Drosophila melanogaster: one gene and its partners. The protein of the gene in region 1 interacts with the protein of each later gene in a pairwise test. Each region holds a gene or a part of one and is shown in the gene's direction. Other genes may lie near its edges. The genes, in order: Trl, Bin1, lolal and Taf3.

Region 1 (4,752 bases):
GGGGAAGGCCAGGCAAAAGTCGTGCCGCGCCGTTCGAATTTCAAACAGTCGAGCTGGCGCACGGTGGGACAAAAGCGTTGTTTAAAAGTTTTAATGTTTTAAAGTTTCATACATTTTAATAAAATACAAAAATTTAATTTGAAAATCTTTAACTAACGTACGGCCAAACGCACTATAAAAACTAGCCAATGGAAAAAATAGTCCAGTAACGCTTATACAATTTGTTTACAAAAACCAGTTATACAATGTATTCCAAAATTTTACATAGTAATTCTATTCCTACCACTTATGTTTTGTATCCCACTGTGCTTGGTTTGCACTCATTCCTCCACCTCTGCCGAGTCACCCACCACCAACACCCCCCAGCGCGCACGCTCTCCCTCATTCTCACATCATGCTCCGTTGGTTGGTATTGCCAGCTACGAAACATGAAACATGCTCACTGCTTTAACGCCGATTGGAACTTTAAAGGGGCATTTCGAACGGCATTTCTCATGGCCCCTTCCCTGCCCAGCAGCATCATAACAGAGAAAATTGTAATCTTAAAAATTTGGACACTCGCTCACTTTATATTACTTTCTTCTCTGAGCGTTGGCTAGAAGTGCCACTCTCCTTCTCCTTCAATTCCAAATTCGACTAACTTCCCTATCGCGGGGTCTCTCCGCTCTTAAGCTGGACTTGATCTGCATACGAGAATGAGACTGGCTATATGTTTTTACCCCGTAGGGTCTCGGTCTCTGAGATGTGTCAAAAGTAACAGGTGATTGGATTGGATTCGAAAGGAGAGAGGAGAGTTAGAGACAGGGGAAAGAGAATGTAGAGCGTAAGAGCGAACCGGCTTTTCTACCATTTGTTATTATTACTTTCACAGGATCTGTTAATATTTCGGAACCGAAGAGAAACCCAGTCCCGATACATGTCTATTTTAATCTAAACCTATCAGATTCTTTTGATTCCTGTGTAACCCTCAGTAGCATTACACTTGTTCCCAGAAAAATGGAATCTGGTATCTTAAAAAGAAAACTGAAAGTAATTTATTCTGAACCCAATACCCTTCTAGATTTTGGTGATCAAACATAATAAATTGTTAGATTAGGGACTCGTTCTACGAAAATCTGCTTATCGATTTAATCATAGCTAATGTTGGAATTTATTTTTAATACAATTGCTCGATACCTTAGCTAGAATAATTCAAAAACGTTCTGAATTGTTTATCCTTCATTTTTAAACTGTAAAATTTGAGCTTATTCAGAGTGGAGTAGTATAAGAAAATGTTGAATATTTTGATACCGGATCCGATAGTTATAGAACCGGAACCTACGGATCCCGTTGACCTTTTTCTTATCGCACTCTGATATTCCAACCGGTCGGACACATGTGTTTTTCATCCGTGAAGTCGGCCCAGAATATTTCCATCATTCAATATTTACCACCTTTTATAGTTTTGTTTACTATCTTGCCGACTTTTTTGTCTTGCCGTCTTGCTCTCCTCTCCATCCTAAAAATACTCTTCCTGCGCTCCATCTGGCAATGCCGCTCGACAACTGTACTTCAAAGAGCGTTGCCAGGCAGGTCACTTCTCTCATAGATACACAGATACAGGCGCGCACGCACACCAGCACGCAAAATAACCACCACCAGCAGTACAGAAATTACACATTTTCTCCCCGAGTAGAGAACTGAAAAACTGGCCGCGCTGGCAGCGCCGGAGCAGCGAAATTCGATCGAAACCATTTACTCAGTCTCAGTTCGAGTTATCCAACGTTGGCGAGCGGACAAACAAGCAGGAGAAAAAAGCGTACGGGCAAGAGAAAGAGAAGGCACAAAATCACCCACAGCCACTGAAATTTTCTTTTGCGCTCCGGTGAGAAGATAATTTCACAAACCAAAACCGAACCAACAAACAAAAAAAGTGCGCTCCGTGAGCGGGAAAACAATAACAAAATCAAGAGACATGCGATTATAAAACGAACAAAATAACTGAGTGACAAAAAAAAATTAAATGCGTGTCTCATGGCTTGACTGTACTGTGTATTAAAAAATGTGATTGTGTCGGCTGTCCGTCTGTCTGAGTTTGTGCGCGTGTGTGTGCTGTTGGCGTTTTTAAATGTGGCGCGCTATTTTTGTGTGATTTTTGTGGGCAGCAACGAATTTTGAAACATCAATTGTATACTAGTTGTCAGTCCCCTTGTGAAAAAGTCTTCTCCAACAACAAAATTCCTGTGAGCAGCCTACACACATGCGTTGTCTCGCTCTCGCGCGCTCTGGCCCCCAAAGAGTGCGAGAGCGGGAGAGTGAGACCGAGAAAGAGAGAGAGAGAGAGAGAGCTAATAACTAACGTCTGTACTCTTTTTCTTTTCCATTTTTCATTTCAGTTTCGAGAAAGCAGCGCGCCAAGCAGCAAGAAGAGGAAGAGCAAAGGGAGTTGGAAAAGCAGTGGCGTCGTGGAGGAGGAGTAGAAAGGGGATTTTTGCGAAAAATCCCAACTTGAAGAGAATTTTCCCCGTAACCGTTAAACATTAAATCGTCGTGTTGGAGACAAATAGCAGCGAATACGCTAGCAACGCTGGGGAGGAACAACAATTGTTGGATTTGGACGCGACCGCTTTGATGTCGCTGCCAATGAATTCGCTGTATTCGCTCACCTGGGGCGATTACGGCACCAGCCTCGTATCGGCAATCCAATTGTTGCGCTGCCATGGCGACCTCGTCGATTGCACGTTGGCCGCCGGCGGGCGGAGTTTTCCCGCCCACAAGATAGTCCTGTGCGCCGCCTCCCCCTTTCTGCTGGACTTGCTAAAGGTAAGTGCTCGGTTCGGAAACACTGCCTAAAACACCTTTCAATAAGAGAGCTTGTACATAACCTCAAACGTTTCGTACAGTTTGTAAACAGAGAAATCCAATCGCAGAAATAGGTTAATGTTTGGAGCGCAGAGAAACTGACACTCGCACGCAAATGCATACATATGTATAAATAACGCAGATTTACGCTCCGCTCCAAAAGTTGTCTAGAGATTTTTGTACAAGTTTTCCACTGTCAATTGAGTTGAATGAGTGGCTCCGCCCCCCGCATTCCCGCCGTCTATCTTGCTTATCAGCTTTTTCTTGTTGCAAAGTTCACCGGAGAACGAGAGAGTGAGACGTAGAGACAGAGCGCAGACAGAGAGGGAGAGAGCGAGAGAACCAGTTGGTTCGGTCGACAGAAAAGTGGTTTTGGGCCCGGTGGTGTAACAGAGAGGGGAGAGCCGAAAGCTGGTGCGCCAACTTTTAAATCGCATGTGTTAGAGCGAGCGCAAACGAGAGCGCCAAAAGCAGCGCGGCAACTGTTGTAGTTGTTGGATGGTTGGAGCTTTCGTCTTGCCTTTTGGTTCTTGCTGTTGTTGGGTGCACACGAGCGCGACCTCTTTCTTCACAGACAGAACTGTACAGTTGGCTCTGGCTAGGGGGAACTTGAAATATTGGGGGGAATATGGATACATATACAAAGATAATTAAAATTAAATTTGTATTGATTGGTTTGATTTCCTTAACCCATTTCCTAAGCTAAGTCTTTTGTATTTTGTATGTCACCATTTTAGATTGCTAGATTGATTGTCTAACAGCAAACTTCGCTCAATTAAAAGTTCCTGGACTTTAATAGACTTATCTACTTCAAATCTTTATTTAAACTTATAACATAGTGACCAAGTCCAGATTGTACCAAAGATAAGCAAGCCTGTCTGGTGCGCTTCCCTCGTATCGAATCCAACCCGTATTTCTATAAACTAAAGCATTTCATATTAGGAAGGCGCACTTTTAAATGGAGCTTGCAAGTTTTTTCATGAGCTGTATTGCGATACTGTACTTTTTAACAACTCATTTGCACTTTAACTTTGACGCTTTTCCGCCACTCTGTCGATTGTTCAAAGTGTGCGCTTAAGTATGAAAGTTGGACCGTCTTCAATGCGTGGCCCTATCGTAATGGAAATACTGACCAAAACAGAGCGCGGCCAGCGAAATGAAAACACCTGATGCGACGCCGACAGCGGCTACTCTGCGCTTCGCTCCCCCTTATTCTCAGCGCTCCTCATCTCTCCTCTCCTTTTCTGGGCCGTGAAAAAGTAAACAGAGCGAAATTTTTGAAAACGCCGCTCAGAGCCGTCGTGGGGAAATGTCAAAGAAAAAAAAAAAAAAACAAAAAGAACGGGACCAATGCGGCTGTGAACTCTGCAAGAGTCCGAAAAGTACAAGATGTACTGATCTCGTTACACTCACACACGCACGCAAAAACACATGGCGGTCGCTCTTTGTTGCTCTTGCTCCCTCTCCCTTGCTCCTACGGCAAATGGAATGCAACTCTGAAAAATCGATGAGCGAGACTTTGGTTGGAGGCAGAGTTCAAAGAGCGCAAATGGGAGTGCGGTGAGATGTGTCATTTCAAGAGATTGGCATTGGATGAAGGGAGGGTGTTGGTTGGTGAGTCCGTAAATGGAGAGGGGTTGTTTTCTGAGCAATGCTATATAATTAAATGTTTGGAGCGGGAGCGGGAGCGGGAGAGGACACAGAAGAAGAACAGCTAAGCGCTCTTTCTTTAAGCGCTGCTCTGTTTTCTTTTTCAGCATCTGAAATCTCAAAATCCTGCTGCAGAATGTGCAGAGCGCGCAAAAGTAAAAGCCGGTTGTCTTTTGTCTGTGTCACTGTGTGCGTGAGCGGAGGAGAGTGTGAGCGACGCGTCGCACCGCGAGTTTCCATTATTTCCATCTCCGTCCGACT
Region 2 (5,869 bases), on another chromosome or scaffold:
TCATCCATCCCCGCCCACTACTTTTACAAATTGGATTGTTATCACTCAAAGTCCTTGGGCGATTCCGAGGAGTTTTCACTTGCCTCAGACTCAAACTGATTCGACCAGCCCCTTTGTTGTCGACTGTCACTCGCAACTGTGCGGCTCCAAGTGCAAATGTATCTGTGTATCTGTAGGTTTCTGTGTGCGCCCGTCTTGTCAGCGCTTTGACATGAAAATAGTTTGGGCCAACTTGGCTATGCAAAAGCGATTTCTATTAGGAGCCGCCATCGCCGACATGTGCTGCCGAAATTCGGTGATTTGGGTAGGATGAAGAGATTACCAAAAGTTTACAGTGGTTCTTGCTTCCAAGCAAGGAAGGAATTAAAATCCTGTTCAGCAAATATTCCAATAAATCGCTTTTAAGCAAGTGTTATCAGCAGTTCAATGTTGAGTTCAACCGGTTGAAACCCGCTGGTTATCGTAAATCATGGCCACGGTAGTTCCCTCGATTCGCTTCTTATCGCGACGACAGTCCCCACTGACGCACCAAATGGACGTATTTAGACTCCATAGATAACATTTGGCTATTGTTACTATGGTTAATTGAGACATTTACAACTCAAGTATACCTCAAGTCAAGCAGAACATACGTATGCGCGCATATACAGTCGAATGGAATCGACGTCGCTGCCAATCAGGCCGATGTGTTAAGTGAGTTAGGGGCACTTTTGCTTTTGGGACGTGACGTCAGTGCAAACTGCAGCTAGATCCAGTCAAGCCAATTGACGAAAGAGCCGACGGCAGCGGTCTGTACGTATTCAATTCATCAATTGGCAAAACCCTGGCAAAAAGGCAAGAAGATGGAAAACAAAACAAAAGCGAACGCAAACAGAAATAGCATAAAATGGACAACAGACGCGACAACACAGGCACCAATCGTAGGGGCAAAAATTATGAGTTGCTTTTATTTTAAAATCGTTTCATTTATTTTGCGTCAGCAGCGCCTCTCAATGAGGAAACGCTGCGTATACATAATTTTCTGGCCACATATACGCACTCCCATATCTTTCTCCCATCGATTCAGTGGTCGTTCGCAATCAAAGGCACAGACGAGTGATCTTTCCTTGGCCTTTTGCAGTCTCTTAAAGACGGGTTGTTTTCGAGTGTTTTTTGCAGCAGAATGGTAATCAGAATGCTCTCGGCAATTCTTTATTGAACGACCGTTCAATAAATTTCACAAAAGGAAATGTTATCAGCGGGTATTCTTAAAATAACTCAATCTTTAACAACTTATATTTGGAATCAATCACATCAACCCGTAATCAGATAACTGATAACATTTTAGAGGAAATAGTTTGTACCGGCACATTAACAAGTTAATGGTTTTGTTATTCGCCTTATCGTGAAATACTGTAAATAAATTTTTTAATTGCTTTTCGAAAGTAGTTGTTTACAACTTAATTTATCAGAGTGTTTTTGTTCTCCGCTCAGAATTAATCACGAAGTGGGGTGGTAATCCAGATTAACATAAGAAAAAAACAATTTTAAAATATAATATTAAGTCGCCATTATGCATGAGTAACAACTAACAAATTGCTATAAATAATAGGAGATAATCTTGAATACTGCTAGAAAGTGTAATACAATGTAAGGCAATTAAATGTGCAATAAAATCAATGTTATTATCAGCATGATTGTATATGTCGGAGCGCGACTCTTCGCATTCCAGAAATTCCTTCTGTGATTTCATATTCTGATGAAATTGTAATATTGCGGTAAAATTCTGTCGAGCGCTGCGGCAGAGGCACGAACAGCCTCTGCAGCTGAGTGAGGTCCGATCGAGTGGTCATAAATAGTGTGTTAGAGAGAGATGACAATGTGGCACACGCCAGTGTGTATAGCCATTAGAGAATATGATGAAGAAGGGACATGTAAGAAGATCCCTTCAGTGAAGTTTGACTGCTGACGTCGATCGGAACTTGCTGCGCTGACGTACAAAATCGCGAAGTGAATAAATAATATGGATGAGACTCCTGTTTCGCCGACATATACAATAGTGCTCAAGACCCTAATGGAATTATACGTTAATAACCAGCCACATTTCTTAGATATTTCTAATATGAGCCATCTGCTGCAGGTTCTTTCCAATATCTAATTCTAGATCTTCTTCGAATACGACCTTTTTGGCCATGAAACGATGATTTGCCACTTCATTCACAAGCATTAATTTGTCATGATTCTCTTAAGCGTGCACTTTATCTGAAAGTCTGAACAGCTGGCTGCGAAATGGATTCCCCGGATTGGAAATGGCAAGTAAATCTGTCCTCGCTACAAACAAGTGGGCACCACTGGGCATTCGGGGAATAGGGATATGGGTAGGAATGGGGATATATTGTGGCATTGGCGAAAGGTCGCTATGCAAAGCCAAGGTCGAGACTTACACCCAGGACATTGTGTTGTGCGGCTGGCAGTAGAAACGCCCACGCACACGCCCCTGTCAACTGGCCGGGTAAAAAATAGAATCAAATACATATGTATACAGAACAGGAGTTGAAGCAAAGCTCGCATTTTATTTGCATTTGTGAATTTATTGCTTTCGGTTACGTCTGCTTCGCCTTGCCACTTTTCCAAACTCGTTGTGCTGCTGCTTGGGGAATTTTCGGAAATTCGAAGTGATTGGGTTTGGAGCAGTAGCCAAGGGCTTCTACTGTTGCTCAAAGCAATTAATATTTGAGAAAAAATAACGAAAACGAAGTAAGGCGGCAGCAACAAAGCGACCGCAACAGTGGCAACAAATCGCCCCACACCGCACGTCTTCAGTTTACAACCAAGGACTTGGCACGTTTAAAATTCAGCCAGCAGCCGCAGCAACGAACACGGACAGTGGGCGGAATTTAATTTCGAAAAACATATTACTTTATTGTTCACATCTTTACCCACCTTCCGATTCGAGTACATACGATTCCACTGAAGCCACTGAAGACTTACTTCACTTAAAGTACATTTTCTTCAACTTCGTGGGGTCTTTCTAGAACTTAAGACTTATTCTAACTTAAAAAGACTATAAAGTTTTTAAACATTCCGTTGTTTTGTCAAATTTGAATAATTTACGAATGTGAATTTGTCGCAGAAGTATTGCTGAGTATTATCTTTATAAATTTTTCATTTTTTAAAGTGACTAAAGAAACAGCTTTAATGCGTCTTACTTCATATTGGTCATCCCGACCACAGTGCACTGGTTACCAAAGTATGCGATAACAATAACATCGTCCACTATGTGGTCGTTGCTGGGGTTACGGGCAGTCAGTCACGGTCACGGCTGCAACCCCTCCGCTCCGGCCAAAACGAGTCCACAGAACAATGGCCAAGGACGAAGGGGGGGGAGGGGGGATTCAATAACAACAGCAGGAACAACAAACATTCTGCTCCCACGCAAGAGCAGCAGGAACTGTGGCAAAAACAGCTGCTGCAGGATCAACGAGGTGGGAGTGGATTCGAGGACTTTAAAACACGAGCCAACTAAAAATATTCAGACACGCCGAAGCGAAAATACCCTTTAGCAGGGGGTTAATTCAAGTGGGGTATTTTCCCCTTCTAGTGTTTTTCTTTTACCAGGGTAATCACAGATTCTGTTTCTGTGCACTTAAACGGGGTTTATTCCGTTTCTAAAAATATCAAATGTCTGGATTGACTTATTTCTTGGTATTTGACTAAAAATAAAAACAAATATGCAGCTTTTGGGAAACTGATTCCTTGTTGACACAATAGAAACCACCATATGACCACACCTTCCACGCTACTGCAATAACTAGAACATTTAGAACAACAAACAGAATGGCACTATTATCGGCAAATGATGGCGCATGCATAAAAATGAGGAGATCGAAAGTGGGTGGCTGGGGATGGGATAACCTTGTACTTCTTGAGATAAAAACAGTTCAGTATTTAGCAGCGGCTTATTCCTGAATGTTTATAAACAAATCGAGCGAGAGAGCGATGCATAAATGAAATATGAGGGGGGGTGAAGGGTGGTTGCAAAGAGGGTGACTTTTCGCAGACGCTGCGGCACCAACACAAGCAAAGCAACGGCAACAATTTGCACGTAAAACTCAGCTGCTGCTGCTGCTGCTGTTGCCGTTACATAAGAAACTCTTGCAAAAAGTGCAAATCTCAATTCGGTATGCAAATGGACCGCTGCCACAATGTACTCACCGTTTTTAGAAACTATTCAGTGGCCAAATTGCGATTCTGCTTTTATGCGCCAATAACAAACGGCTCTTCTCCACCGTTGTTGTTGCTCTCCTCCTTGTTGTTGTGGTCGCAGCTACTGCTTAGCGAAGCAGTTGTTATTGTTGTTGCGGCAACAGTAATTTGCAAGTGCACCGCTATTGTTGAATGTTTTTAGACGATTGTCATGCCAGTGGAAGCTTCCAGTCTGCGTCATTCGCGGAGACGCGTAGTTTCACGTTCGACGACACAACCGCTCACAGCGAATTTTGTTTTCGGACTAGAGCTGAGAAACGGCGAATTTTGGTGCTTCTGGAAACATCGATTAAACTAAAACCCGATAAGTATGCGACAAGCGGTCACACTCGGCGATGTGCGATAGGATTGCTGCATTCGATTATATAGTTATCGAAAAGAGCAAAGAGAAGCCGGAATATACGGCATTAAAAGTGCATTTTGTATTAAAATTAAGAAAATTAGTAACGATATACCGCAGAATAGGGAGACATGGCCAACGTGGAATCTATGATTGTGGAGGAAAAGACGCAGGTCAAGCAGATTGACCGCGAGAAGGTTTGTTTGTGACCCCGGTCATGTTTACTTCGCGTTTGCTCTAGATGTGTTAATAAGTTTATGTATTTTCCAGACCTGTCCTATGCTGCTCCGTGTCTTCTGCTCTACGGGACGACACCACTCCGTGTCGGAGTATATGTTCGGCAACGTGCCCACCAACGAGCTTCAGATTTACACCTGGCAAGACGCCACCCTGCACGAACTGACCTCTCTGGTGCGAGACGTCAATCCGGACACCCGGAAGAAGGGCACCTACTTTGACTTTGCTGTCGTGTACCCCAACTTCCGGAGTAATCACTTCCAGATGCGCGAAATCGGAGTGACCTGCACGGGTCAAAAAGGAATCGATGATAATAAGACACTTGCTCAGGCCAAATTCAGCATTGGAGACTTTCTGGACATCTCGATTACTCCGCCCAACCGACTGCCGCCAACCGCCAGGCGCCAGCGTCCGTACTGATTCTTCACTTTCATCTATTCTAATCATTTTAATCTTTCACTTGACACTCAATGGAGTATGAACATAATTATAAGTGGAATACAAGTAAGACGAACTACGAGCTGCTTGACTTAAGGGACTATATGTTGTGGGGAGTATCAGTTCCTGTAAAAGCCGTTCGGGCGCTTCGACTTCTTCTTGCCCAACTGCGTCATGTCGATCTCCAGACCATTGGGCAGCACGGCGCGATTCTCTTCGTAGTTGACGAACCCGTTCTCTTGTAGCTCTTCCTCGTTGTTGCGGTTGTTAGGATCGCACTTGATTCCAGTCTCATAGTGGTACTCACGTTTGTTGCCATCTGGATCAACGTAGCCATAGGTTCCCCTGGTGAACGAGAAGTTTGGGTAAGTGGGAGAAAGAGGTTGGATTCAATCTGTTTTACTCACTTGGTGATGCAATCGGTGCCGATCAGCTCCTCCTTGAAAGATCCGTCGTCGTTCTCATAGCCCCATGTGATGCTTCCGTCCTCGTTTTCCTCACGCCACTTGCGAATGGTCTGGGAAACGGGCTGACGGCGACGCTGCTGCTGCTGGTCAACGTGATCGTCCTGTAGCTGATTTTGATCAATGATGGGACGCGGCTGGACAG
Region 3 (6,072 bases), on another chromosome or scaffold:
GCCGAAAGGCGCGCGGTCGGATCATGGTGGCGGGCTGCAGCTTTACCAGCTCCTCGGCGGTGAGCAGGGGAGATATTTGGTCGGGTTGCATCACACCCGGTGTGTCGTAGACCCAACGCGCTTCCTTGTACTCCTTGCCCCGATCGTTTAGCGTTGTAATCGGTCGCGAGCCACCGGCCATGGCAAAGGCATCATGGAGATTTTCGCGTCGATCGAAGGTGCGTCCAACCGGAGCCACTGGTTGAGCAGCTGCCGCTGAACCCGTTTCCCTTGCCACTGCGCGACGCTCCTTTTCCATTTCCGCCTTCTCGCTGCGCTCCGAAACCAATCTCTTAAAGCGCTGATAGACTCGATCGTTCGATGGACGCAAGATTGGAAACCGCAGCAGTTTGAGTGTGGTGCCCGGCCACGGACAGGTGGTGGCCTTGCGCACCAGGTCACTGGCCTCCGGCCGGCAGTAGTCCGAGTTAAGCAGAATGTTGAACAGCGAGCTCTTGCCCACATTGGTGCAGCCCACCAGATAGACATCGCCTTTGTAGGCCCACGTTTTGTGCAGCTGCGTTATTAGCTCCTCGATGCCATAGCCCGTTTTGGCGGATATCAAACTGACATTCTTGATATTTAGACCATTTCCACCGCCATGCTTGATGAACTCGCGCTGCAGAGAATCCTTAATATGCTGAAGATAGATGTTGGAGTCGCGCGGCAGCAGATCGACCTTGTTGCCCACCAGGAAGACGGGTCGCTTTGCGCCCAATATGTTTTGCATGCCCGGCCAAATGGAGCAGGGAAAATCGAGAAGGTCCACCAGAACAATAGCCAGTGCAAATTTGTCTTGAATGCGGGATATGGTGTCCACATAGGTCGATGGGGCCACCACCACATCCAATGCGATGTTGTAGTGGTTCAGAAAGTGACAACGCTTGCAGGTGATCGTTTGCAGTTCCTGCTGCGTCCTATCCCTGAATATTTCACTTGGTATATAGCCTGGCAGGGAGGCATTCGTGCAATGAAGGTCTGCGCCGCAGCCGTTGCATGGAACCTTTGAGGCGGGTAACGAAGGATCCGGTGTGCCCTGCTTATTCCCTCCCTCCTGGGCGCCCTGATAGAACTCGTAGTCGTCCATCCAGTCGTCGGGCAAATGCTGTTGTGTCTCAGGAATCGAGAAAGAGGGTTTTATTTTGGTCTCCAGAACAGAGCTGTAATGAACGTGCTCATGATCCTTGTACCGCTCTCTGGCGAGCAGCCACGCCCTCTGCCGAAAGCTCTGTCCCACTTCAGCGGCGGTATTCTGCCGCCTCGAACATGTGATAACCACATTTTTATTTATAATTTTATATAAACGTGTGGTTTTAAACATTTTGCAATGCCCACAAGAATTCTCACAGTGTCAGACTAAAGCCGTTTGCTACGAAACCATTTACATAGTCAGGGCTGCTAGCCGATAGATCTGAACGATTGTTATATTATTTGGCGTACAAAATAACAAGCATCAATTCAAGCAATGCTTTTTGTGTTATAAATCGAATAAAAGATATTTCAGTACATTAATTTGTGTTCATTAACTGGAAAAAAACAAAACGCATCGAAATTAGGCCGATTCATATCGAACAATCACGAGTGTATCGAAAATCGAAATCGGTGAAAGAGAAAAAAGAAAGCAGCGTTAGCGAGAAAGCAGAGGTGAGTTAAGTGCGGGACAAAAAAAAAGCGTGTATGTATTAAAATTGAAACAAAAAGATATAGAAAAAGCGTGTCCACGGCGCAATTAGCGTGCTCCTGCGGCGGTCGGCAGGCGATATACGCATTGGTAAAAGTACAGAGTACACGCCGAGTAAAAAGCAGCAGCGCACAACAAATAAAATGATTAGGAAAGTGTGTGGAAAAAAGACAAGTGTATGTGAACGGCGATTGTATGTGTGCGTGACGTGACTGTATGCGTGCTGCTGCTGCGTGTATATGAAATAAAAAGTAACGCGAAGCGCGACCTAATTTTAACCAAATATTACAATAATATTTGCATAAACAAAGGCGGCTCGGTTAATGTGACGCCAGGCATTTTGGTGGTTCCTGCGGCTTTCCACGAACGTTTGCCGACGCCATTGTCTGACCAAAAACAAAAGAAAAGAATTGAAATAGAATAAATCTCAGACGAGCACACTATTCCGTCGAGTGTAGAGTTCTTCCCGATTGAGTAATGCAATAACAACAAACGGAGCTGCTCAAATTGTTGAGAGTGTTGCAACTTTCGTTGGAACTCGTTTTGAACCGTTGTTGTTGTTGTTGTTGTTGATTTTGTCGCTCGCATCGCTCACTCACTTACTCACCGACTCACTCGCTCCTTTCCATTCTCCTGATGTTACCAAAACTGGTCTTCAAGAAGCAACAATGCAGTTTCTTGACGGGGAAGGGGAAAAATCAATAGTTCGGAAATTAGACAACTTTCAACATCCATGATTCAACGAAATGCACTCAGCCTAGAAGAAGCTACCGATAACCCCGGGCGCAAGAGCAAGCGAGATAGTTGCCGCCGCCTACCCACACTCGCACACAGCCACACACTTACACTTATGCAGCTGAATTTCCAGCGATGTCTGCTCTGCCTTTTAAGTTGTTGTTGTTGTAATGTAATTGCGAAATCATAACGGCAGTTGAAAGTTGAGAGCGCTTAGCGAAAGAGAACGAGGGACACAGAGAGCGTGAGACTAAAGTTTAAGCTCTGGCGGCAAACTATATGCCCTGCTCTCCCCCGCCCACGCAGAAACATACAGCCGGCTGCCAGTGTAGCGCATATGAGAGTCGCATCAACAACAACGCTATTTCCTCAAGAAGAAAAACACATGTTGGCCGCACAGTGGGATGGAGTGGGAGTGAAATTAAGACAAAGTCACTGAATGGAAGTGCGAATGGTGCCGCCATCTTGGTTCTTTTTTGGTCAAAAATCACGGAATGAATGCTATTTAACTGGAGTGCGCCTAAAAATACATTGCCATCGGCAGCTGCAGCGTGCATCGCGTGCAACAGACTAATTCCGCGTTCTAAGCCACTGTGCCGCATACGAATTCAAATAAGCAATAAGTACACATGTGTGTACGACTGAAAATGCAGAAATTGCCTTGAAAAGTGAAAGGCATTCAACAGAGCGAGCCAGCGACGATTTGATATTTTTGCCTCTTTGCTTAACCTTTGCTGGCAGCTGTTTGCTGTTTTTATTTAGCGCTGTCTCAGCACTTTGACATTTTCCAGCTCACTCACACATGTACAGAGTAACAACGCTGTGCATTCCGAACTCCCATTTCCCACTGCACAAACGCTGCACATGCGCCGCAGCACATTTATATTTGCAGAATACTTTTGGCCAAGAGACGTGCTGTTTTGCAATGCTCTCGTAACGTTCACTGCTAATTTCGCCAAGCTGTTGTTTGTTTGTCTTACTCTGCCTTGCCGTTACCGTTCGTTCACTAATGCTGTCTGTTTACTTCTCTTGCAGAGTGCGTCAAAGAAAACCCAAGCGAAAACCCACGGATTAAGCGGTCCGCTGCGAATTAAGACCATCTAACGGTGAACCTTTCGGTCACTAGTCCAAATTAAGCCTCCTGCCCACCCCCCTCCCAGCATTCTGTTCAGCGAGCGCGACGCCCCCACAAAACAAAAGCTTCTTCATGATGTCGTCGGATCAACAGTTCTTTCTAAAATGGAACGATTTTCAAACGAATATGGTGACCTCGTTCCGTCACCTGCGCGACGAGAAGAGCTTCACAGATGTGAGTAACCAAATGAAACTTTCCAGAAGCGGCGATGGAAAAACTATTGCAGTCGAACTATTAGTTAGAATGATGATATTAGATGTCAATATATTTTGAAGTTACTTATAAATTCAGTCAAAATCAAGCCATAGAAGTTCGACTGTAGTTAACCAGTCCCAGGGGCGCGCTGAGGTTTATTATGCTACTCTTGGCCCGATTGGCTCGCGGCCGCCCCTTGTGGAGGGTCAGTCACCGGCTGAGCTCAGTTGGTCTGAGTAGCAGATACCTGGCCCTCACGCTATTTTCAATTCGTTTTTCTTTTACCTGTGTTCGTTCTTCGCTCTGCGTTTTTGTTCAATTTGTTGCGGTGAAAATGCCTGGCGGATCTTACTGATTTCCCAATGCTTATTGTTCACAGGTAACACTCGCCTGCGAGGGCCAAACCTGCAAAGCCCACAAAATGGTGCTTTCCGCTTGCAGTCCCTACTTTAAAGCGCTACTGGAGGTGAGTTTTTCACGCGGTAATAACTAAGCAATCGTTTGATAATGTAATGTATGCACCCGCAGGAGAACCCATCGAAGCATCCGATCATTATCCTGAAAGATGTCTCCTACATTCACCTACAGGCTATACTGGAGTTCATGTACGCCGGTGAGGTGAACGTGTCCCAGGAACAATTGCCAGCATTTCTTAAGACCGCCGATCGCCTCAAAGTGAAAGGCCTCGCAGAGACACCCAGTTCGATAAAGCGGGAAGGTTGATGGTATTAAACAATAATCGAAACAAAAAATACATAATAAATAACAACAACCAACTATAAGAAACTTATATGTACGCAAGAAAACAAAATTCCAACCAGCGGCAAAAGAAACAACATTACGAGAACGACATTTGGTATACAAATTCATATAAGAGTGCACGAGGAGGATGAAGAACGCCAACAAATGACCACACAAAGCTAAAGCTGGACAGATTGAAATGATTAGCCTGTAAAGTAGAGGTGGAGGCCAAATCCGCCCGCCCACTCCCACACCCGCTCATTCACATCTGATCAACCAAATTGCAAAAAAAAAAAAAACAACACTTACCGACAACCCCACAGAACTCGATTTGAATTCTTTTTGTTTAATTTCTGCATAAAATAGTTTGTAATATATTATTAACAATACAAACCACTCTGTATAAATAAAACGATATGGACAGCAGCCCCTAAAGCAAAACAAAACATAACGAAACGAAACAAAACAAAAAACGCACTTTTGTAAAGTAATTAAAGAAGATCCATTTAAAATATATAAAGATAATTATAAATATAGTGTGAAATGTGCAAGTAGATGGAAAAAGCCACGACGGGCGCGAATATTACAACACATTCGGTTAGTTTTTAAGCCACTAACTACAACCCCAGACATGCCACGCCTCCAGACAGACAAACTCATTTTCATCTATATTTAAACAATAAAATAGAAACAAATGCAAAATTGTACTTCAATTAATTGTGTGTGGACAAGCGCGTTTTTCCCCAACTTCTGATCATACGCGAGATACATACATATATTGTATTAATAACAAAACGAAGAAAAGGTGTTTCAGTGCGAAGCTAGCAGTTCTACACAGTTTAAACAAAAGAGTAAGGAAATACGTTAGAATGAAAAATACAACTTGAGTAAAAACTATACTTGAATATTATTACATAAAGTAAAATATTTATATGTATGTATATGTATACATGTGAGCATAGATTTAAAGAAACTACGGTAAATAAACAGAATAATTAAAACAAAAAAAAAAAAAAAACAAATGCAAATCATCCTGAGCTTTTCATTAAATTACGATTCGAAAACCGGTCGATTTGCATGTCTGCATTTATTTTAATAGTCTTTCATAACATCCTTCATAAGCTTCGTACTTTGTATACAGAGTAATTCGTTTACAAATTAACAAAAATATGTTCGCTTAGCTTAAATTACACTAATATTTGATATATTGCCGATTGGATCTCGCTTGCTGTTGCACATGCATGCAGCCAATATAGATCAAGATGCACAATAAGCCACAGTTCCTAATTATTGAAACAGTACGCATTGCGCGTGTGCAGTTCGAATGGATCGAGGCGCATCTTCTCCTGGTTATCCTCAACGAAACGCGTCACATCCGCCACGAGATTGGGTCGCTCCTCGGCGCTGGCGGCGCACGGCGACCAGATCTTAATGTTATGGTCAATGCCACTGGTGGCCAGCATGCAGATGCTCGGATGCGGCTGCACGCAATTCACGATGGCACTGTCCGCCCGATAAACGGCGCGTATCTTGCCCGTGTCTCCCT
Region 4 (7,607 bases), on another chromosome or scaffold:
TCAAAAATTCCATTTTTTCGACTCCAGCTTCTTTGAGCTCGTACATTATGCGCAAAATGAGAAATCTGCGCACTGAAGTGTATTCGTGTTTTTGCTAGTGGTTGATTGATTTTTTGTGACCGTATGAATATTGAGGGTGCGTCGTCGTTGGAGCAAGCGTCGCAACGGCATGAAACAAACTCTTACAGACTCTGTGACTGAGTCTTAATGCTTAATATCAATATTCTAGTTTTCATTGTTCCCGAGATCACAGCGTTCAGATTGATAGTCAGACGGACTAACCAGTTACTCGATAACTGACCGACTGCATATGAAATCTTCAGTATATGTAAGGAAATACGATACCTATACACCTATTATGGTTAACATAGGTGTAAACGTGTATTCGTTGGGAATCAGATTATCCACCCTTACCTGATTCTTAAGAGTTTCGTCAATGTGAATGGTAGACGTCTTCCGAATCATGTCATGAGAATATTTAAAGTTAACGGGTCCTAAGATCCCGCTCTCTATGAAAAAATGTTTTGCTTTATCAATGCTCGAGTTCAATGGTTGCATTTTTTAGTTCTTATTAGATTAAAAAAGGAGTAAAACGTTGGTCAGATCAATGTTGATGGAGATCTTCTTACTCATTTATACTGAGTATTTCAATAACTAGCTGAAAAGTTTAAAGGATTTGAGCTTTAAGTAGAATAAAACTTTTTATTAGACTTACACATATACCCAACACATGCAAATGTTCATATAGTTGTTTTATTTGTTAATTTTTATATTTTACATTATTACAAATACAAAATATTAAGTGCCGAAGATCTGTCGCACGCTTCTTTGTGTGAATACTCGACTAGAACATATATGGGAAACAATACCTAACCCAATAAATGTCTTAAGATATAAGTTTCTTCTAAACTGATCGAAAATATAACTAGTATTCTATCAGTAGTTTTGTGTCATTATACATTATACCCTCTTTCCACTAAATTACCTGCATATATACACATGTTTGGGATATAGTTCACATGATATTTTTGAAGCGATTTTAGGCTTAATGTTATTTTATTAAATTTATATTTATATATATTATTTATATTTATAATTATATTATTATTTATTCGGTAATTTCATAGCTGTTCTGGGCATTACTTTCTTTCCACAATAAACATAACATTAGATGCTGTTAAAATTTGTAGTAAGTAATCGTAGTAATAATAGTAATAGTAGTAGTAAAACTAAAACATTTTTACGGGTAACAACACAAGACTCTCGTTTCACTCTGCATTCAAGCGCTCTATTATTAAACAAGCTCTAATTATATTTCCATCGTTCAATATCTATTTTAAAGAATAGAAGGATTAGAAAACTTTTTCGTCTTATTTTCAAAATTTGTGTCTTATTCGAACACTAACAGCGAACATACCGAAAGCAAACCTTTTATCTGCCCTTATAACCACTTTCAAACCACATAAAAAATTGCAGTTTGTTTATGTTGGTCAATCAATTGAATTTGATTGAACCCCATGATTACCACTTTTGGCATACCCCAAATATCGATATATTTCCCATCAAAGGCAAAATCGATAAGTTATCGTTAACTAAACATCCACAGATTGTAGTTCGTCTAATAAAGGTGTAGACACCAAGTCAATTAATTTTAATAACAAGAGGAAGTTCGTGGGACGGTTAAACCTATTCACAGCATTTCCAAGGTTTTCTAAAGAAGGTGTACCTCATGAAAGAACATGATGGCAGACAGATACGCTTCAGATTTGGCCCTTGTTGTCGTTGCGCAGATAACGCAAACTATTGGTTACAGCTGCACTCTAAGTGCACCCTTGGAGTTGTTGCAAGACATATTGCAGAAGTTTGTACAGGAGTTCGCTCGAGACATGCATAGACATATGGAACACGGTAAGTGGTATAGACCCTCAAATCAACGGAACCGATCATGAAATACAACAAAGCCTGAGTAGTTATAGTCGTTACTTGTAGAATAAGAGATTCAATAAAAAGTATGTGACATATATGTACATGTACATAAATGTATAACTTATCATCCCTGCAGTTCCATCAGACTATCATTAATAAATCATTATTTATCATTAAAACAATTTTGTTTGGAGTTAGGGCATTTTGCTTTCAGTTGCGTTAGAATACCGGTCAACCTGTCCGTTTAACCTTAAAGTAAAATATATTAGTATAATGTGTACAGAAATGTATTACGAAAAATGTACATCGCTTCTGCGAGTAGTACGTGTTGTTGCGTGTAAAATGAATCCATTGCCATTGGAATTTCCTGATTAAGCTCGCGCCTGCTACTCGCATAAATCTAGTCCCAGTTATCCGCGAAAAAGGAAGCGTGCCTCTTAGAAAAGTAATCTTTTAATTTATTTCTTTCTTTTATTGTTATTTCCCTTTTCCTCGCCCAGTCCCTTTCACCTACATCAGTATATAATTTCTCTAGTTCCGATGCGCATTAAAAATTTAAAGTTTCTTACGAAACTTATGTGCTCGGCGACTTAGAGCGTCAGCTTAGCATTCGGCTGGAAATAAAAGATCCATAATTTATTGCTGATTCCCTGCTTGTGGCTGTGCAGCCAAAGCAGTTGGTACTGTGGGCGAAACCGATGATCTTGGGATGTTTTTAAGGAGCGATGAATTGTGGGACTGCCGGGGTCTCGATTGGGGATTATGAAACCTCAATAGGCATGTAGATTGTATTTTTTGCAAATTATTATTTCATTAATTGTCTTGTAAACACCAAAAAAAAAAAAACAATAAATCTTTGATTTATATATATCTTAGATTAAGATATATCTTAGATTAAGATATATTTTAGATTAAGATATATCTTAGATTAAGATATATCTTCCTTGTAACCACCGGAACAGAAATAAAAATAAATAGTTGAGGAACTCGACTAAAGCGTTCTCTTATATTTTCTTTTTAATTTTGCTTGGTATGTTACTTAATAACGTTATTTATATGAGTTCAAAAAAATCTTATTAAAACCAAACAAAAAATCAAAAATGCTTTGTTTATTTGGATAAAATTTATAAAAATATTAATTGACAAGTATATATATTACTAATTTAGCAAATCGGATAGAGCCGAACCTTAAGGATGCACGCTTAAGTATAAAAAATCTCAGCATCAATGTTCAAGAACTATTGGACTACATAGGTAATGTCGAGCCTGTTGGATTCATCCGGGATGTACCACAGTTTCCCATTGGAAAATCTGTAAACATGAACTTCCTTAAGCCTGGAAGCGCTGAAACTCTAACGCGACCTGTCTACATATTTGAATACTTGCCACCAATGCAGGACCCCGAACTTCGTGAAATTCCAGCCGATGTTCAAAAGGAATTTTCGGAAAAGCAAGAGTTTTGTTCAAAAGCAGAGTATAGTTCAACAAACGCAGCTGATAAGTTAGGCGCCAAGCACATTGATTCTATCTCTCCTAATACTGTGATAAATTTCCGGTCGAATGCCTTTGAATTGGACGTTGGGAGCTCAGTCCGCGAAATGAGCAGCGTGGTAATGACAACAGGGGGATTCATAAGTCCAGCTATTGAAGGCAAGCTCCCCGAAGATATCATACCGGATATAGTTGGTACGACCTATCCTTATACCACAGCTTAATAAATTTTCATGTATCGGTGTTTATAGAAAAATTTTTAGGTTTGGATGCACCCTTTTCACCGACGATAATTGTAAATTCGTTACAAAAATCTCCACAACTGGCGCTTTCTGACAGAGACAAAACAGTAAATCCACGAAAAATCATTCCCTCAGAAACTAAAATCTTCAAACAAAATGCTGCATTATTGACAAGTGGACATTCAGAGTCTTCAATAATATATGCGTCTAACAACCATACGATGCTAACTGTTACAACACCTAAGAAGAATAGAAAACAGAAACATGATTTAATATGCGAACCCGGTCAAAGCGAACTTCTAACTAATCCGTTTGAAAAAGCTCAGGAAAAGTCACAGAGAAAAGCTTTAAAAATGTATAAACAAACCTCAAAGAACCAAAGAGACAGCTCAATTAATCAAATACAAAACATGAAAAAGTTAAAAAAAAAATTTAACCGCGGATCCTTCGATCCAAATAAAAAACATTTAGAAAAAATATTTAAGAAGCAGTCCAAACTTAAGCAAAATGATCTTCAACTGGACATCGACGAAAAACACTTTTTGCAGAATTCTCAAACTACGAGCGGCCTTGCCATAAAAGCTAACTCAAATGAAAATGCTTTACAAGCTGATATCCCTAGTCAGCCGCCAACAGTAACAAGCCAGATTGAAAATAATTTTCGAAATTCAATTTATCCAGTGCAGCCATCTGTAATTCAACAAACGCAAGTGCTATTGGCAGAAAAAAAAAGTGGATCAGAACCAGAACGAAGTAAATTGGACATTTTTAAGAAAATTTCTAAGCCACGTACTCCACGTCCAGATATTGGGGCGACTTTAGTACCTCCTGGAACCGGGGTATCTGTATTTGGAAGCACAATGACCCCTTCAGCATTAATTAGTCTTCCATCGGGGACTACTATAACTCCTACACCTTCACTTGGTCTAAATTCTGAAAACAAAAACGTTCCGAGTATGAAAATCAACCCTTGCAATATATTCGATGGAACTATACCTTTAACTAAAGCAGGCGTTGAAATGTCAATTATTGATTCGCCAAAGCCAAAAAAGCGAGGTCGCAAACCTGGAGGAAAAAATGTAATAAAACAAACAAATGTTGTATCGCAACCTTTAATTAATAAGGTCGAACGGAAAAAGTCAAGCCAAGCTATTACACTGCCTCTATCATCATCTCCAATGATAATAACCCAAAGTTCTTTAAACGTCTCCCCGCCAACAGAACCTCTCAACTTGTGTAATACCGAACAGCCCTCGAATAATTTTTTGTCAAACCTGTATGCAAAAGAAAAAAAGGACAGAAAAAAGTACAAATCATTACCAGAAAATGTAATGCAATTAGACAAGAGCTGTTCTCCTGAAAAGGCATCAACACTACATAATTCTATTCGACCCACAAAACAAAATAATGATGTACAATGTTCAGATAAATTTGTGACTATATCCAATGCTTTGTCAAATGCATCAATTTACCCTGGAATTCAAACAGGAATGGTTCCGTTGCTTCCTTTATTGCAATTTCCACCACGACCTGGTCTTATTCCTACTGGACCTGGGCTTTTTCCTGCAGTCACTGGTTTAGTTGGCTTCGGGAATCACGGTAACAGAATACCTATTTCGCCGTTCATAGATTATCCTGGACCAGAAGAATCAGTTGCGGATACTGTTCGATGTCCACCAATTAAGGATTCTCCTGGTACGTCAAATGAGTTATTTTTATACGCATTGCTCGTAGTATATATACGTAGTATATATTTTCGTGACCAGGATCAATAGCCGAGTGGATCTGATCCTGTCCTGTCCGTCCGTATGAACGTCGAGATCTCATGAACTATAAAAAGCTAGTAGGTTGAGATTAAGCATAAAGATTCTAGAGACATAAACCCAGCTGAAGTTTGTTGACCCAAACTTTACTTTACCATACCAGTTCGAGTATCACAGCTCGAAGAATATATTGCTTACATAAAAGTCTCGGCAATATCTTAATTCATTACAGCAAAAATACTAATCTGAAACTAATCATTGAACCGTTGAATGTAGAAAATAGGTATAGGTACACACTCAAGAAGTGGTATTGGGAAGCTTCTAGATGGGTTAGTATGAAATATTTGCGTTTGTCATAAACTAGATATTTGGAGGAGCTCAAATTTTTTTTTTATATTGACAATACGTACCTACCTACAATATGTGAATTATTTGTCGACCAAAATATTTAAATATTTATAATGATTAGAAAAAATAATTTTTAGTTACTGATTCTGATCAATTTCTGAGCCGATCTTCCACGCAAACTGACTTGCAAATGGATCGAAACTACTGCAATGTTGCTCCATTAGTACCTGACTCAATGAAATTCGCCGAGTGTAAGTTTAACGGTAAATATATTTGTAATTTAAAAATAACTTATTACTTATATCTGTAGGTAAAAGCGTATCTTGTGCCAGCACAATATTGGAAAACCCATCTGCACAGGCTACAAGCAAAATAAACACGAAACCGCTTTTGGAGGCTTCTGGAAATCCTGATGATCCAATAGAGGTTTCAGATGATTCAGATGAATCAATGCACAACAGGCAGATGGTTCAAAGAAAAACCCCAATATCATCACCAACTTATGTTAAAACCAGCTTCGCAGAACTAAATCCCTCCTCGTTTACGTCAGCTGCATCTAATGGTGAAGAAAAATCCAAAATGGATCTAAGGAATATTGTGTCTCTAAGCTCTAACGAACCACTTAAAAAATTTAAAAAACTTGTTAAACAGAGTTTTCCCGATGTAAAAAGCGTACCCCACACGCCAGCTTCACATTCATCATTTCCACAATTTAACTTGCCTAATTTTATGGGAGGTGACAAATTCAGTTTAGCTGGGGGAGCAGATCTTATTCCTCTGTCGAGAGTGAGTGATTCGGAATATTCCTCCAAAATAGTACCATTCAGTAGCTTAGGTGGAACCATACCGAATCAAATCAAAATTTCAGAAGAGCACAATATTTTTTCTACCTTTTCTAACTACGAAGATATTACAATAACACCAACTGGATTAACGTCGTTGGAACCGAAAATGCGGAAACATCACAAAAAGCTAAAAAAGGTTAAAGAAGGGAAAAATAAAAAAAAGAAAGAGAAAAAGGACAAATCAAAGAAAGCGGATCAGATTGGCTTACCATCTTTCAAATCCGACCGGAAAATAAAGGCCAATGATAAAAGGCAAAAAAAAGAAAAGAAAAAGGATAAAGATAAGCAGGTTTGTGTCAATTCTTTATTTATAAAAAAATAGGTGTTCGTGTTGTGGTATTTGGATCAGATATGTAGATACGCCGGAGCTGATAAGCAACCTTTGCGATAAGTACGTACACAAACTCATTTGAAAACAGCAAGTTATGTGGGAAACATTTTTAAAATCATGAATTCTGTGAACATATTCCGTATAATAACATTAAATTATGCATTATGCATTATACATTATACATTATGTTCCAAATTTGTATTAATACTTATATAGACTGTTGTGACTAATTATAACATCGAAGCCTACAGCTTGGTATAGGTACAAAAACATCTTAATCCTACATAAACATGTAAAGCAGCCAAATCTTTTAAAGTTATATTTTTAGTTCTTACAAATTTTATTTTAGTCTATACACATATCTCAGCAAAATCTTTTAAAGTTAAATTTATAGTTTAATCAATTCTTATTTTAGATTTTAGTCCATATACCAGATGACACAGAAGAATTTGACAAGGTGCCTTTAGCTAACAACGATGAACCTGTATTGAAATCAAGTTCCATGACAATAAATCCATCGTTAGGTGCCGCCACAAGTGGAATATCTCCAAATCAAATACCAAAACTAACACTAAAACTTAGTGGAAAATCTACATTATTTTCGTCTTCAGAAAAGGAGATGACAGATGCAGGGAAACTAAAGCAAACCACGATTTTGTCT

What was found.
Region 2: the proteins of Trl (region 1) and Bin1 interact in binary tests that used the Drosophila melanogaster proteins (3 or more experiments, as listed by UniProt).
Region 3: the proteins of Trl (region 1) and lolal interact in binary tests that used the Drosophila melanogaster proteins (3 or more experiments, as listed by UniProt).
Region 4: the proteins of Trl (region 1) and Taf3 interact in a two-hybrid assay, tested with the Drosophila melanogaster proteins (2 studies listed by BioGRID).

The regions. Positions count from the first base shown.
Region 1 is NT_037436.4:14,754,954-14,759,705, reverse strand, and holds the start of Trl (Trithorax-like), read left to right. Parts: upstream 1-1,743; 5' UTR 1,744-1,864; exon of another isoform or gene 1,865-2,222; intron 2,223-2,369; exon of another isoform or gene 2,370-2,375; 5' UTR 2,376-2,610; coding exon 2,611-2,802; intron 2,803-4,752. UniProt on the Drosophila melanogaster protein: Transcriptional activator that functions by regulating chromatin structure. Overcomes the repressive effects of chromatin by promoting the open chromatin conformation in promoter gene regions, thereby allowing access to other transcription factors.
Region 2 is NT_033777.3:16,185,625-16,191,493, reverse strand, and holds Bin1 (bicoid interacting protein 1), read left to right. Parts: upstream 1-1,929; 5' UTR 1,930-2,291; exon of another isoform or gene 2,292-4,387; 5' UTR 4,388-4,716; coding exon 4,717-4,782; intron 4,783-4,855; coding exon 4,856-5,242; 3' UTR 5,243-5,338; downstream 5,339-5,869. Other genes in the region: CG8927 (uncharacterized protein), read right to left, coding at 5,380-5,605, 5,668-5,869. UniProt on the Drosophila melanogaster protein: Involved in the tethering of the SIN3 complex to core histone proteins. Interacts with bicoid (bcd) to repress transcription of bicoid target genes in the anterior tip of the embryo; a process known as retraction.
Region 3 is NT_033778.4:18,153,584-18,159,655, reverse strand, and holds lolal (lola like), read left to right. Parts: upstream 1-1,637; 5' UTR 1,638-1,714; exon of another isoform or gene 1,715-1,896; intron 1,897-2,763; exon of another isoform or gene 2,764-2,909; intron 2,910-3,276; exon of another isoform or gene 3,277-3,490; 5' UTR 3,491-3,662; coding exon 3,663-3,764; intron 3,765-4,164; coding exon 4,165-4,251; intron 4,252-4,313; coding exon 4,314-4,508; 3' UTR 4,509-5,561; downstream 5,562-6,072. Other genes in the region: CG10914 (uncharacterized protein), read right to left, coding at 1-1,360; adp (adipose), read right to left, coding at 5,810-6,072. UniProt on the Drosophila melanogaster protein: Required, together with Trl, for maintaining the repressed state of target genes including homeotic genes Scr and Ubx. May also be involved in the activation of homeotic genes. Binds to a DNA Polycomb response element (PRE) at the bithorax complex.
Region 4 is NC_004353.4:460,802-468,408, reverse strand, and holds the start of Taf3 (TBP-associated factor 3), read left to right. Parts: upstream 1-1,580; 5' UTR 1,581-1,739; coding exon 1,740-1,908; intron 1,909-3,093; coding exon 3,094-3,612; intron 3,613-3,668; coding exon 3,669-5,354; intron 5,355-5,907; coding exon 5,908-6,021; intron 6,022-6,080; coding exon 6,081-6,904; intron 6,905-6,995; exon of another isoform or gene 6,996-7,361; coding exon 7,362-7,607. Other genes in the region: CG33941 (uncharacterized protein), read right to left, coding at 415-558.